3 linked regions of the Saccharomyces cerevisiae S288C genome follow. The gene in region 2 interacts genetically with the main gene of each other region. Each region holds a gene or a part of one and is shown on either strand. Other genes may lie near its edges.

Region 1 (3,715 bases), on a different chromosome or scaffold from region 2:
CAAATGCTCCAAGGTATGCGGAGCACCTGAATCATTAAGACATTCTGTAGGAACAGCAAAGTAACCGTGAACCAATGGGGAGGTTTTGTGGTTTATATGTACCAGTTGCAGTTTAGTTCGTTCCGAGATATATTTAGTTATATGGTATTGTGGGACATAATCCGGTTGGAATGATACGAGCTTCTTGAACCCCATTGTGAAGATTCGACGAACTGTGTTGAAAGTGCGTATAATTGGTCTTCGTGCCGTTTTTTGGGTCACTTTCAACTTTTCAGCGAGTAGTTTCTCTCACTATATCTTACGCTCTGTTAAAATCTTTTGCCACTACTTCAAAATTACGATCTATGGGATGAAAAATTTACATGAATTTACCAATACTCGGAAAAATGCAGGACAAGAAATAAGAACATTTGTATAATACAAGAGACGCATATACACATACCTACTCAGATAAGTTTAACGAGTTTCTCTTCCATAGGAGGGTCTAATCTCCTTCAGAAGTCTAACGTCTAAAAGTTCGTAAAGAATATCATCATAAAGTATGGTATACAAAATTTACTGTGCAACAACAGCACAATGCAGTCCATGATCTGCTCATCTGAGCACGAAAACCTAACCTGCAAGTACTGGCCTGTTAGCTTCCTCGCTTCTTGGTGTGAGAATGGGTCTGGCACACTGATGCAGAAAGATGGTAGTCTTTTATATGCCGTGAAAAATTTTTCCCATATATTTGAAAAAAAAATTTTTCATACCAATCTATAGAAATAGTGAGGTCAGGAGACATCGCAACACTATTGTTCTATTGCATTATTTTTTTAGTGTTAAACTACAATTTCGGATTCTATATCATTGTATATAATAGCGTCAGAATAAGCGTGACTACTTACTTCTTTTCTTGCTTAGTTTTTGGCTTAGGTGCGACAAGTCTTTCCTTTTCGCCCCAAACCAACTTATGTGGGACCATGAATTTGTCCAAGGTCTCTTCGTCCACCTGAGCTCTGCGTTCCTGGAACGCCTTAACGAATTCTTGCAGAGTCTCGATACACAGTTTCTTCATTTCACCTGATAGTAATTCACCGGACTTATATTTGTCATAGCATTCCTTCAAGAAAACATCGTCATCCTTGAAAAATGACAAGTATTGGTATGCAACATCGACATCGGGATTACCACCTAATTCTCTATGTAGGTCGGCGGACACTTGACCACCGCTGAATGCGTACTTGTTAATTTTCTTTTGAATTTGCTTTGGTGTATCGGTCATGAAAATGGCAGTGGTATCATCAGAGGCTGACATTTTGGTCGTGGAACCTTGCAAAGCTGGAAAGAATCTGGAATGAAGCAAAGCAGGTTTGGAGTACTTCAATTTATCCGCGACATCCCTACAAACTCTGAAATATGGATCTTGGTCAATTGCACATGGAATCAAACATGGTGTCTTATCAGGCAAGCCTAACACATTAGGAAATGAGCTTGGGAATGCGGTAGCAATTTGAATGGAGGCAAAATGGAACTTACCAATACAGTCGGAGTCATTAAACCCGAAAACAGCCTTTGCAGTGGATCCTGTAATTTGTCTGGAAACTCTTACTACAGTTTCGTAAAATGCACCACCCATGTATTGCAAATCAGAAAAGATAAAGGTGTTCTTTGGATCAAAGCCAACAGCAATGATATCCTTGGCATTTTCACGGGCAAAATTCTTAACGTCATTGATGGTCAACTTGTGTTTGAATAAAAATTTTTCGTCATCTGTCAACTCTATGACTAATGGTACGTCAAACACTTCCTGTAACCATTTGGTGAAGACAAAAGGGATCATATGACCCAAGTGCATAGAATCGCTCGAAGGACCTCTACCAGTGTATAGGAAAAATGGTTTGCCTTGTTCGTAAAGGTCTAATATTTTAGTGAAGTCACGCTCACTGAAAAACAATCCCTTACGCAAAAAATGATGTGGTTCACGACCCGTCACTTGCTTGAATCTCTTCAGGGTTTCTTCGTTGACCGGCTTAGTACCGAATTGTTTGATCAATTTGTCGTAATCAATATTTTGGGCTCTACCTTGTTCATCAACCCCACCTTCCACATCCCAAGGTGTAACTACTTGCTCTTTAACATCTGTGCTTTTTAGTTCCGACACTTGTTGGGTGACTTTCTCTACAGTTTCGTCGTTGCTCATCGTTGTTCTACGACTATTTTTTGTTATTGAGTTTTATTTCTGATACCTCAATGACTAAAAAAAATTTTTCAACGTTTTGATCTTTTTTCTCTCTTTTCCATTATAAGCGGAAAAGAGATACTGTATTGAATAAATTACTGGCGTCTTGAAAAGGATACATCATTTAATAAACGCAGGACCATGCCATTGCTTTTTGAACTCATGCTGTACGTGAAAAAGTGTATATATATATATTTATATAAGAAGATATTTACAGTCAGATACCTACTTTTCGTTTGATTTCAATTCAGTCTCTGAATAGCCATAAAATAATTACCGACATCGGAACAATCGTGCTCAACCCACCCTTGATATGGGAGGTACATGGTCCCCTTGAGATCCAACAAGCGAAATTGGCCACTGTAGTTGTCATTGAACCAGGCAAGGATTTCCTTTGAGTTTATGTATTTGCTCAAATGATGAGTACCCTTTGGGACGATCTTCAAGACGTTTTCACCCATAAAAATTGTAGTAAACCATGAGATGAGATCTCTGTTTATAGTACTTAAAAAGAGTATACCTTTTTCGGGATTTAACCTCGACCAACAATGCCTTAAAATTTCACTAGGCATATCCACGTGCTCTAGCATTTCCATACAGGTGATAATATCAAATTGTCCAGTAACATCCTCCAGAGCCTTGCACTCATAATTTATCTTTCCCTCCAGCATGGGGTCTTTCTTGGCATGCTCTTTTGCTACCATGATACAATCGCGAGTCAGATCGATCCCTTGAACATTCTTCACCCATTTTAGTCTCGCGAGCGATTCACTCAAAATGCCACCACCGCATCCAACATCCAAGACGCTCACTTCTGGCCTCTTATCTAGATTAGTCTCTATGCTTTCCTGCATTTCCCGCTGAATATTGTCGCAGACGTATTCTGGTAGAAACTCCTTGTAATTAAATCCAGGGACAAATATTTCAGGATTCTGAATTTTAACCTGGTTCCTCACAGTCCTCTGCACAAAATCTAACCTAGTTAGATTCATTTTGTGTAGAATTCTTTGTGATCCGTCTGTATCCCACCAAGTAGGGGCTAGCTCCTGGAAATGCTTCACTTCATCTTCAGAAGCATCTGTGCTCTTACATCTCGTTTGTGTTTGAATTGCAAATCTTGAACAGGCGCTCAATTGTTTCCTCACATGAATAACCTTCAAAAATCTAGATCTTAACAACATTATGAATCCCATAAGACTTCGCTGTACCTGTTTCCCTTTAATTGTTTTGTATGCCTTTTAGCATACTTTACCATCCCTCTTTTTGAACAATGGAAATGAAAAAAATAAAAATATCTGCTTCTAAAACTTGTATTATGTAAAAGGGTGATAATACATTATGAAAGGTAAGTAAAAAACTATTCTATATACGTCTGAAAACGCTCTTACAACCTCTTAGTGAAGAATATGCTCTATAAAATCCAAAATTTTTACGTAACTGATTGTATCGCTGCACATTATAACCATGTGTCACCTTAACGTCACATACAGATCG
Region 2 (4,934 bases):
GAACAACTCTTGGTCAAATATCTTTATTCCATATGTCGACTATTTGTGAAAGCCGGAGCTTTTCGTCTTCTTTAAATTTGATCAACTTTCCAAACTCACCTTCCTTGAATAATGTGCAATAATTGAACAAAAAACACTCTCCTGAGTTAATCCATCCTGATATACTAGTATCTGGTATTATAATCCCTTCAAGTTTTACTGGTGATGCATAATATTCACGTAATTCATCTGCATTTTGGAACATATCATTTAGTCTCTGTCTATGCTCATAATCGTATTCCCATGAAGTTTTTTTACAAATATTAAGGCCCCCGTTTAGCCATAGCAAGGACCCGTCCCTGTCTGTATGAGATAGTTGCACAGAACAAATCTGGTAAAACTCACCGGTACTCTCTTTTGAAACTACATTGCCCAACTGACCAATGTTTGATGCATCCACAGGATGGAACGTAAAGCGATTGTTCGAAAGTAATTCGCCCAGCCAAAAAAAGTCCTTATCACCATGAAAATATTCTGCAATTGGAGAAAATTGTAAAGCTATTGAAGTAAGCATACTGAAGAGATGCTTTCCTTTATGCAATATTACCAGGCCGCTTTCCAAATGATGTTTATATTTCTTTATAAACATGTTTTCCAGAACCTGTGCAACCACTGGATCCTCTACTTGCTCATGTATCTTGGATTCATCCTCTAAATCAAGCCCAATACACCCATAGACAATTTCCCTTAGAATTTTTAATTCAGAGGATTCAAATAGATCATCTGATATTACCCGATCTTTAAAGAATAGAACTCCAGTCTTTTGAAATTCCTCTAATTCATAAAATTTTTCTATTGAAACAAAGGGCACTGTATCTGAGTCCATTAGAATAGGAATTTCAAAGGATGAGAAGGTCAATGCTAACCACTTGTTGGAATAGGTGGTAAATTTTTTCGAATATTTCGGGTTTAGCAGACTATGTACATTTAAAAACCATAATTCTTGAGCAGGATATTCAGCGGTGTCTAGACTTCTCGCATATTTGATAATAGATTTCATGGAATCTTGACTCAGATCTGCATTATGAACAATCTGTATAGGATAATCATTTTTGATGAACCTCAACACTTTCAATAAGCGTATGGTTTCATTCAACTGCACGTCAGAAGCACTAATAACTATGCCTTTCGAACCACTTTGAGTCACAGTGTGCAACCAATTCTCCCAAAAAGATAGCCCTGTATCGAAATTGATGGGCTTAGAACGAAGGAATTGATGGTTTTTGGGGTCAAATTCCAACATAGACGCATGGTAAACCTCGCCATTCCATCTCGTAGTTGTGTGCCAGAAGGCACTTTCATCAGTTTCTAATTTTTCAAAGTTAATATACGGAAAGAGCTTCTTTTCAATATCCCTCAAACGCTGAATATTATGCCCATCAACCTGCTGCAAGCAATTAAAAAAAATCTTAATCCTCGTAACCAGTTCAATCACATCTTTTGCAGGATTCGGGGTTATTTGATTTACGTCGTAGAAGTCATTCAACCACCCAGGCGTAAGACCTTCATAGTAACTCCAGCAGCCACCATTGCCACTGCTGCTACTTTGAACTGGTTCTACCAAATCTAACGAATTCAACTGAGAGTAATATACTACTAACACAATTCCCAGTAGTACAACTAATATAAACAGTCGATTTTTTCTTCTCATATTCGATAAATACTATTGGGGCTACTTTTGTCCTGTCACTGCGGATTTGCAAACACTCATGCGAATATTTTACTCAATTGAGAGATTTGCTGTCTCCCCCCACTTCGATGGTCCCCACCCCTAAAGTAAAGGAAAGAAGAATTAGCACTGTTTTAGTTCCAGGTACTTCTTTCTTTCTTTACCGGTATTGTGTGGCTCATCAAAACTTCGTCTCGGGAAAATGAAAAATGTAAACAAGAATTTCCGTTTCAAAGAGTTGCCTAAGGCCCACTAATAATGTACTTATTATTTACAATTCGGAGAACGCTGCTGATAGAAATCAATCAAGAAGTCCCTTAGTCTTTGTGTGTTTACGCCATATTGCTTAGTTTCGTAGTGCGTTACAGTTCTATCGTGTGAAAATTTTTTTCTAATGCATCAGCTGTTATGCGCACTACTTGAAAGGTTATCGAGCGTTTGTAAAAAGTAGAAGTACTTAAATGAACCTTCACGGTTAAGCAACCAGTATAATTGAGGCTGCTGATTTGAAATTGCGTTTTGTGTTCAGAAGGATCCCCGGAGGCCTTCAATGAGCTTCCATTTTATTTTCTCCAAGGAGGCCATTTTTTGTAGTGTGATGTTGACATGGTTATAACTGTTAGCAGTGTTTGTGATGATGGCTGTAGTATCACCGCAGTGGATTAGCTATGAAAAAAAAAAAAAAGAACTAGTTTTTAGTTCGCGCATCACGAGGTACGTGTTTAATATGTCAGATGCTTGGGATCACGTATGCCGTTAACTCTACAAAGCAATTGATATTTTGCTGCCTCAAATATCTCACACTACTAGGATATATTCTTTTATCAAACAGGAAAAAAGGGCAGCGTACCAACATGTATAAAAGGGTTATTAGCATTTCTGGTTTATTAAAGACTGGAGTCAAACGTTTTTCTTCTGTCTATTGCAAAACAACCATCAACAACAAGTTTACATTTGCAACAACTAATAGTCAAATAAGAAAAATGTCTTCCGTTACTGGGTTTTACATTCCACCAATCTCTTTCTTTGGTGAAGGTGCTTTAGAAGAAACCGCTGATTACATCAAAAACAAGGATTACAAAAAGGCTTTGATCGTTACTGATCCTGGTATTGCAGCTATTGGTCTCTCCGGTAGAGTCCAAAAGATGTTGGAAGAACGTGACTTAAACGTTGCTATCTATGACAAAACTCAACCAAACCCAAATATTGCCAATGTCACAGCTGGTTTGAAGGTTTTGAAGGAACAAAACTCTGAAATTGTTGTTTCCATTGGTGGTGGTTCTGCTCACGACAATGCTAAGGCCATTGCTTTATTGGCTACTAACGGTGGGGAAATCGGAGACTATGAAGGTGTCAATCAATCTAAGAAGGCTGCTTTACCACTATTTGCCATCAACACTACTGCTGGTACTGCTTCCGAAATGACCAGATTCACTATTATCTCTAATGAAGAAAAGAAAATCAAGATGGCTATCATTGACAACAACGTCACTCCAGCTGTTGCTGTCAACGATCCATCTACCATGTTTGGTTTGCCACCTGCTTTGACTGCTGCTACTGGTCTAGATGCTTTGACTCACTGTATCGAAGCTTATGTTTCCACCGCCTCTAACCCAATCACCGATGCCTGTGCTTTGAAGGGTATTGATTTGATCAATGAAAGCTTAGTCGCTGCATACAAAGACGGTAAAGACAAGAAGGCCAGAACTGACATGTGTTACGCTGAATACTTGGCAGGTATGGCTTTCAACAATGCTTCTCTAGGTTATGTTCATGCCCTTGCTCATCAACTTGGTGGTTTCTACCACTTGCCTCATGGTGTTTGTAACGCTGTCTTGTTGCCTCATGTTCAAGAGGCCAACATGCAATGTCCAAAGGCCAAGAAGAGATTAGGTGAAATTGCTTTGCATTTCGGTGCTTCTCAAGAAGATCCAGAAGAAACCATCAAGGCTTTGCACGTTTTAAACAGAACCATGAACATTCCAAGAAACTTGAAAGAATTAGGTGTTAAAACCGAAGATTTTGAAATTTTGGCTGAACACGCCATGCATGATGCCTGCCATTTGACTAACCCAGTTCAATTCACCAAAGAACAAGTGGTTGCCATTATCAAGAAAGCCTATGAATATTAAAAAAATCGAACGAACTCATAAACGTCAATTATGCGTGTGCCTTATTTATTTAGTTGTGCGTACAGTATAATGCACTTATTTATTTACCAATCAAATGATTTTTTTAACTTTTCACGATCTATATAATTACGTTAATTTCGAGTATATAACAATGAAAATATATATCTACGTTGTTTTAAATTGAAAAAAGAAGAACGGAAGTTCTATTAATGAGCCGAGACCGGTACGTTTGTTGAAAATAGTTTGGACTTAATTACTGACATACTGTTGGCTTTGAAGCATTTAAGACTGAAAAATAGTCATGCAAAAGTCATGCTTTAATATGGTGGGTTTCAGTTGGATGCAAGAAATAAAATGAAATTCGAAGGCCTTTTGCAATTAAACAAGGCATCGTCAACCAGACAATGTCGAAAATTTTGAGTCAATCTAAATCAATCCACCGCCACACTGAATTCTGTCAATGATATTGTCTTCCTTTTTTTGGTTTGATATCTCTAATTTTCAACCTGTTATAAGCAACGTCAATCCGATTACTTTCGTGTGTCATTCACATGCGCATATTTTTTTATTCGTTTTATGATATAGCTGTCTTTATTATAACCTCGAAACACAACGGCAATGTAACCTTACCAGCCGCATTATTACAAGGAGCCCACTTTATTTTCAATTGCTATCGCTACATCGCAAATGCTACAGCACCCCCATCAGACCTTGAAGTATATATATATTTAATAATAAATACATTATTGGAATGGCTAGTAAATTTTGACATAAACATGATTTCCGAACGAATTAAAATACAGTTGATTTAGGAGAAAGTATCAGTACATTGCTAAAAATTTTAAGCAAATGTTAAGTGAAAAAGGCTTATCATTCAGATGAGCTTAAGAATATACTTTTTGCGTTATTCAAGAGCGATGATTATTACTGAACTACTGTGACGATATCAGCAGCATGCCTGATAAATAAATCTGTACATTCGTGGAAAGTAGTATGTACTTTTCAAATATTTCTAAGAGCTAATGATATTTATTTGATATTTATATCGACAAATGAATCTTTTTCATAGAAGCCGTTATGAAGACTCCAAATAG
Region 3 (3,345 bases), on a different chromosome or scaffold from region 2:
CATTCTGATAAGCAGAACCACGTAAGGCAGACTAAAAATCATGACATCGATTAACAGTTTTCCCAGGAATATTGACTGGCCTTCCAACATAGGCATTAAAAAAATAGAGGGAACTAATCCAACGGTGAATGCCATCAAGGGCTTGTTATATAATGGTGGATCAATTTATGCATTTCTATATTTTGTTATTGCTATGTTTGTTGAACCAACGCTACAAAAGCAGTACCAGCAGAGAAATGATTTTTCCTTGTTTGTTTTGTTGCGTTTGAGAAGAATCATAGCGCAATTGCAAAAACGACTGGTGATGACCCCAGTATCGTCGTTGGGGTTCAACGAACAGAATAACTTTGTGGAGAGGTCCACTCAAACTTCAGACGACAATATAATACGAGAAGATAATAGCCATTGGGCTGAAATGATTTATCAACTGCAAAATATGAAACAAGAATTACAGTATTTTAACAGATCCTCAGGCCAACCATCTGAAAGTATAGACGATTTTGTCTTTCAAATTAAGATGGTGACTGACCAGGTTGAGTTAACAGATAGGTCCCGAGCTTTCTCAAATAAATCAAGAAATATTATACAGGGAATCCGAGAAATCAAAGGTTGGTTTGTGAATGGCCAAGTGCCAAGGTAACAATCAAAAATAATAGCATTGAATTTAAAACGCTCTAGTGCACGTAACGCATCCGTCTGATCAGTGGCGAACAATACCGTTATTTTTCATAGTACCTAAGAAGACACATACCAATTTTTGCAAGTGAAAGTGCAGAAACGGTTCCACTAACGATATTACTGCATGCTCTCTATTCTAATGTACATATATATGTTCCTTTATCTACAAGAAGTTTCGTAATAATATATAAATCCCTCAAAAGTGTTATTGTTTCGAGCCCAAATGCTTCAAAATGTATAGTTTGTTGGTGTTTTTCTTTTCAGGTGTACTGTTGTTAGGCTTGAAAGGTTTAAAAGTGCGAACATTCCTTGCTATTAATTCAGGTGAATTTGAGTTGGACCCAAGTATAATCTTTCTGCTAGTAACAATTTGATTGGATACAAAATCGGCATCCTCTTTTCTTTGATACATTTCTTTTATCCGTTCTCCTCTTCTTTTCCATCTCTCGTAGGTGTTATTGTTTTCCTCATCAGTACGCTTCCAGTTGGACTTCAAAATTCTTCGAACAGCCTCGGGAGAAATTTTGAACCGGTCTGCAAGATCAGATGCTGTCAGTTCAGGAAAGTTGAATTTCAATAGTCTTAGAGCCTCCATTTGTTCCTGTGATATCTTTTTTGGTGGGTTCCACCTCTGGCCTTGCAATTTTTTTCTAACTGCCATTTTCTGCTTCTTCCACTCAGGAATGTCTTTCGTACCATCTCGTACTTTTTCTGTAAACTCTTTATTGGACAAACTCGATTTATTGACTAATTTAATAATCTTTTTGGATGACCATCCCCTGTTCTCATTGAGTAATGGACCGCAGCGCAGGCAATGAAAAGAACGACATGCTATTCGCAGAATGTTCATGCCAAGTGCTAACCAAATGATTCAGAAGGAAGTCGAAGGGAATACGTAGTGCCTTGTTAAATAGCTTACCGTGATATGAACAGTATACGATCGACTCTCCTTGGAGACTTTCTACACCATTGGTGATTGGTGTTTTAGTTCTACCATCATTTCATATTTACTAGCTTTATGATCATTTTAGACGACTGTGGGAATGTTGTTATTTTTACTAATCACTTTTACTTAGTAATGTCCCTTAAGGACAGCACTGAAAGCAAAGTAGTCAAGCACTTCATTCGAACTTGATTAGTAGAAACAAACTTCATTCTTTCTTTACGTATCCAGTCCAATAATATCTGCAGTAGTTATAGTGACTGATGAACATTTTGAAGAAGTTTATGGAGTCTGGTAACAAGCCAGAGCTCATCACGATACCTTCTGGGCAGTTTAATCTTTTGAGGTCTAAGAATTCCCCTAAAGCTGCTTTAGAATGTATTTACAACAATGCAACTTTAAGCGTACGTAAAATAGGCAAATTTGATTATGAGTTGGCGGTTTATAGGGTAGAGGACGATAGTGAAGGAGGCACGGGAGATGAGGCTGAGAATTTTGAAGACGACACCATCAGTGTTTTATCCACACAGTCTAAAAAGAAAGAAGAGGAGTGGAGCGTTGAAATATCGGATAAAATCATGTTTCACAAAACATGGGATAAACAAGGAAACGTGGCGCTTGTGTGGGAGAACTTAAGAGGTGATGAACAAGATGAAAAGGTTCAATTTGTTGTTGCCGCTGATGTGTCGTTTTCTGATGTTGAACAGTTTATCCAAACTGTTTACCGATGCCAATTCGAAGTAAGGAATAAAAAATCCTCTCTCACTGCCTCAGCAGATGACTTAAAGGAAATAGAGCATAGATCAACCAGGCTCTTTGTTCAAGATGATGATGACGAGTTAGATTCAAGCTCAGATGACTTTCAAGATGCTAAAGACACCTCTTTTGAGCACGAGAAGGAAAGTGAAATATTGGAAAGAACTCCTTCTCCATTGAAAAAAGTTCCAGAAGGGGAATATTGTTGTTTAGTGATGTCTAGCCTATACATGTATGATCCAATTCAAGAAAAATTTATTCTGCAGGAGCCCGTGGTAAAGGTAGCAATTATTGATACAGGCAAGTACGAATTTTGGCTAGCGATAGAAGGTAAAGATAATCGTCTTGGGACTCAGGTCGCCCCAAATATCAATCCTACCTTTGAATTAGCTACCGATGCCTTTCTTTTCAACTATACGCTACAAAACATTACATTGTCTTATATGTTAAAATTTAAGGACTTAGATAAGTGTATTCAATTCAGGTTTGCTTGGGTTAAATGTTTATGGATGACTTTGAACAAAGAAACGTGGACCGACGTTCCTGAAAAGGAGAAAGATTATATTTTAGATTCATCATCCGTGCCATTGGAAAAGCAATTTGATGACATTTTACACATAGATGACAGATCAAATGAGGAAAGAGATAAAGAATCAAGCGAAAGTGAAAATGATAGCGAAGATGAGGATGACGAAAACGATCACTCCAAAAGAATCATTTCATCTGAAGCCTTTGAAGAACCTAGGCGTGCGACTTCCAAAGGTAATAGTTCATTGACTGTCGCCTTTAGGAACAACAGGTCATATGTTACAAGAGATAACAGAATTGGTGTGTTCAAAACGGATGATGAAGACGATTCTCTAGAATTTGTAGCTGCCATAAAGAATATTTCTAATTTAGGTGGTAAAAGCATTGATCCTCATAAGCCAATGTTGTATATGGAAGATCGTAATTTAATTTTGACTGAT

What was found. A genetic interaction does not mean that the proteins touch.
Region 1: mutations in ADH4 (region 2) and WRS1 together harm fitness more than expected from each alone (negative genetic interaction), as found in Saccharomyces cerevisiae (one large-scale study listed by BioGRID).
Region 3: mutations in ADH4 (region 2) and RRG9 together harm fitness less than expected from each alone (positive genetic interaction), as found in Saccharomyces cerevisiae (one large-scale study listed by BioGRID).

The regions. Positions count from the first base shown.
Region 1 is NC_001147.6:135,644-139,358, forward strand, and holds WRS1 (tryptophan--tRNA ligase WRS1), read right to left. Parts: upstream 2,183-3,715; coding exon 884-2,182; downstream 1-883. Other genes in the region: SDD3 (Sdd3p), read right to left, coding at 1-195; YOL097W-A (uncharacterized protein), read left to right, coding at 577-762; COQ3 (hexaprenyldihydroxybenzoate methyltransferase), read right to left, coding at 2,464-3,402; HMI1 (ATP-dependent 3'-5' DNA helicase), read right to left, coding at 3,584-3,715.
Region 2 is NC_001139.9:12,468-17,401, forward strand, and holds ADH4 (alcohol dehydrogenase ADH4), read left to right. Parts: upstream 1-2,691; coding exon 2,692-3,840; downstream 3,841-4,934. Other genes in the region: alpha-1,3-mannosyltransferase MNT2, read right to left, coding at 14-1,690. UniProt on the Saccharomyces cerevisiae protein: Alcohol dehydrogenase specific for ethanol. Acts mainyl as a mitochondrial formaldehyde dehydrogenase and has no effect on ethanol production. Shows drastically reduced activity towards primary alcohols from 4 carbon atoms upward.
Region 3 is NC_001146.8:245,577-248,921, forward strand, and holds RRG9 (mitochondrial ribosome assembly protein RRG9), read right to left. Parts: upstream 1,529-3,345; coding exon 884-1,528; downstream 1-883. Other genes in the region: PEX17 (Pex17p), read left to right, coding at 41-640; VID27 (Vid27p), read left to right, coding at 1,885-3,345. UniProt on the Saccharomyces cerevisiae protein: Required for respiratory activity and maintenance and expression of the mitochondrial genome.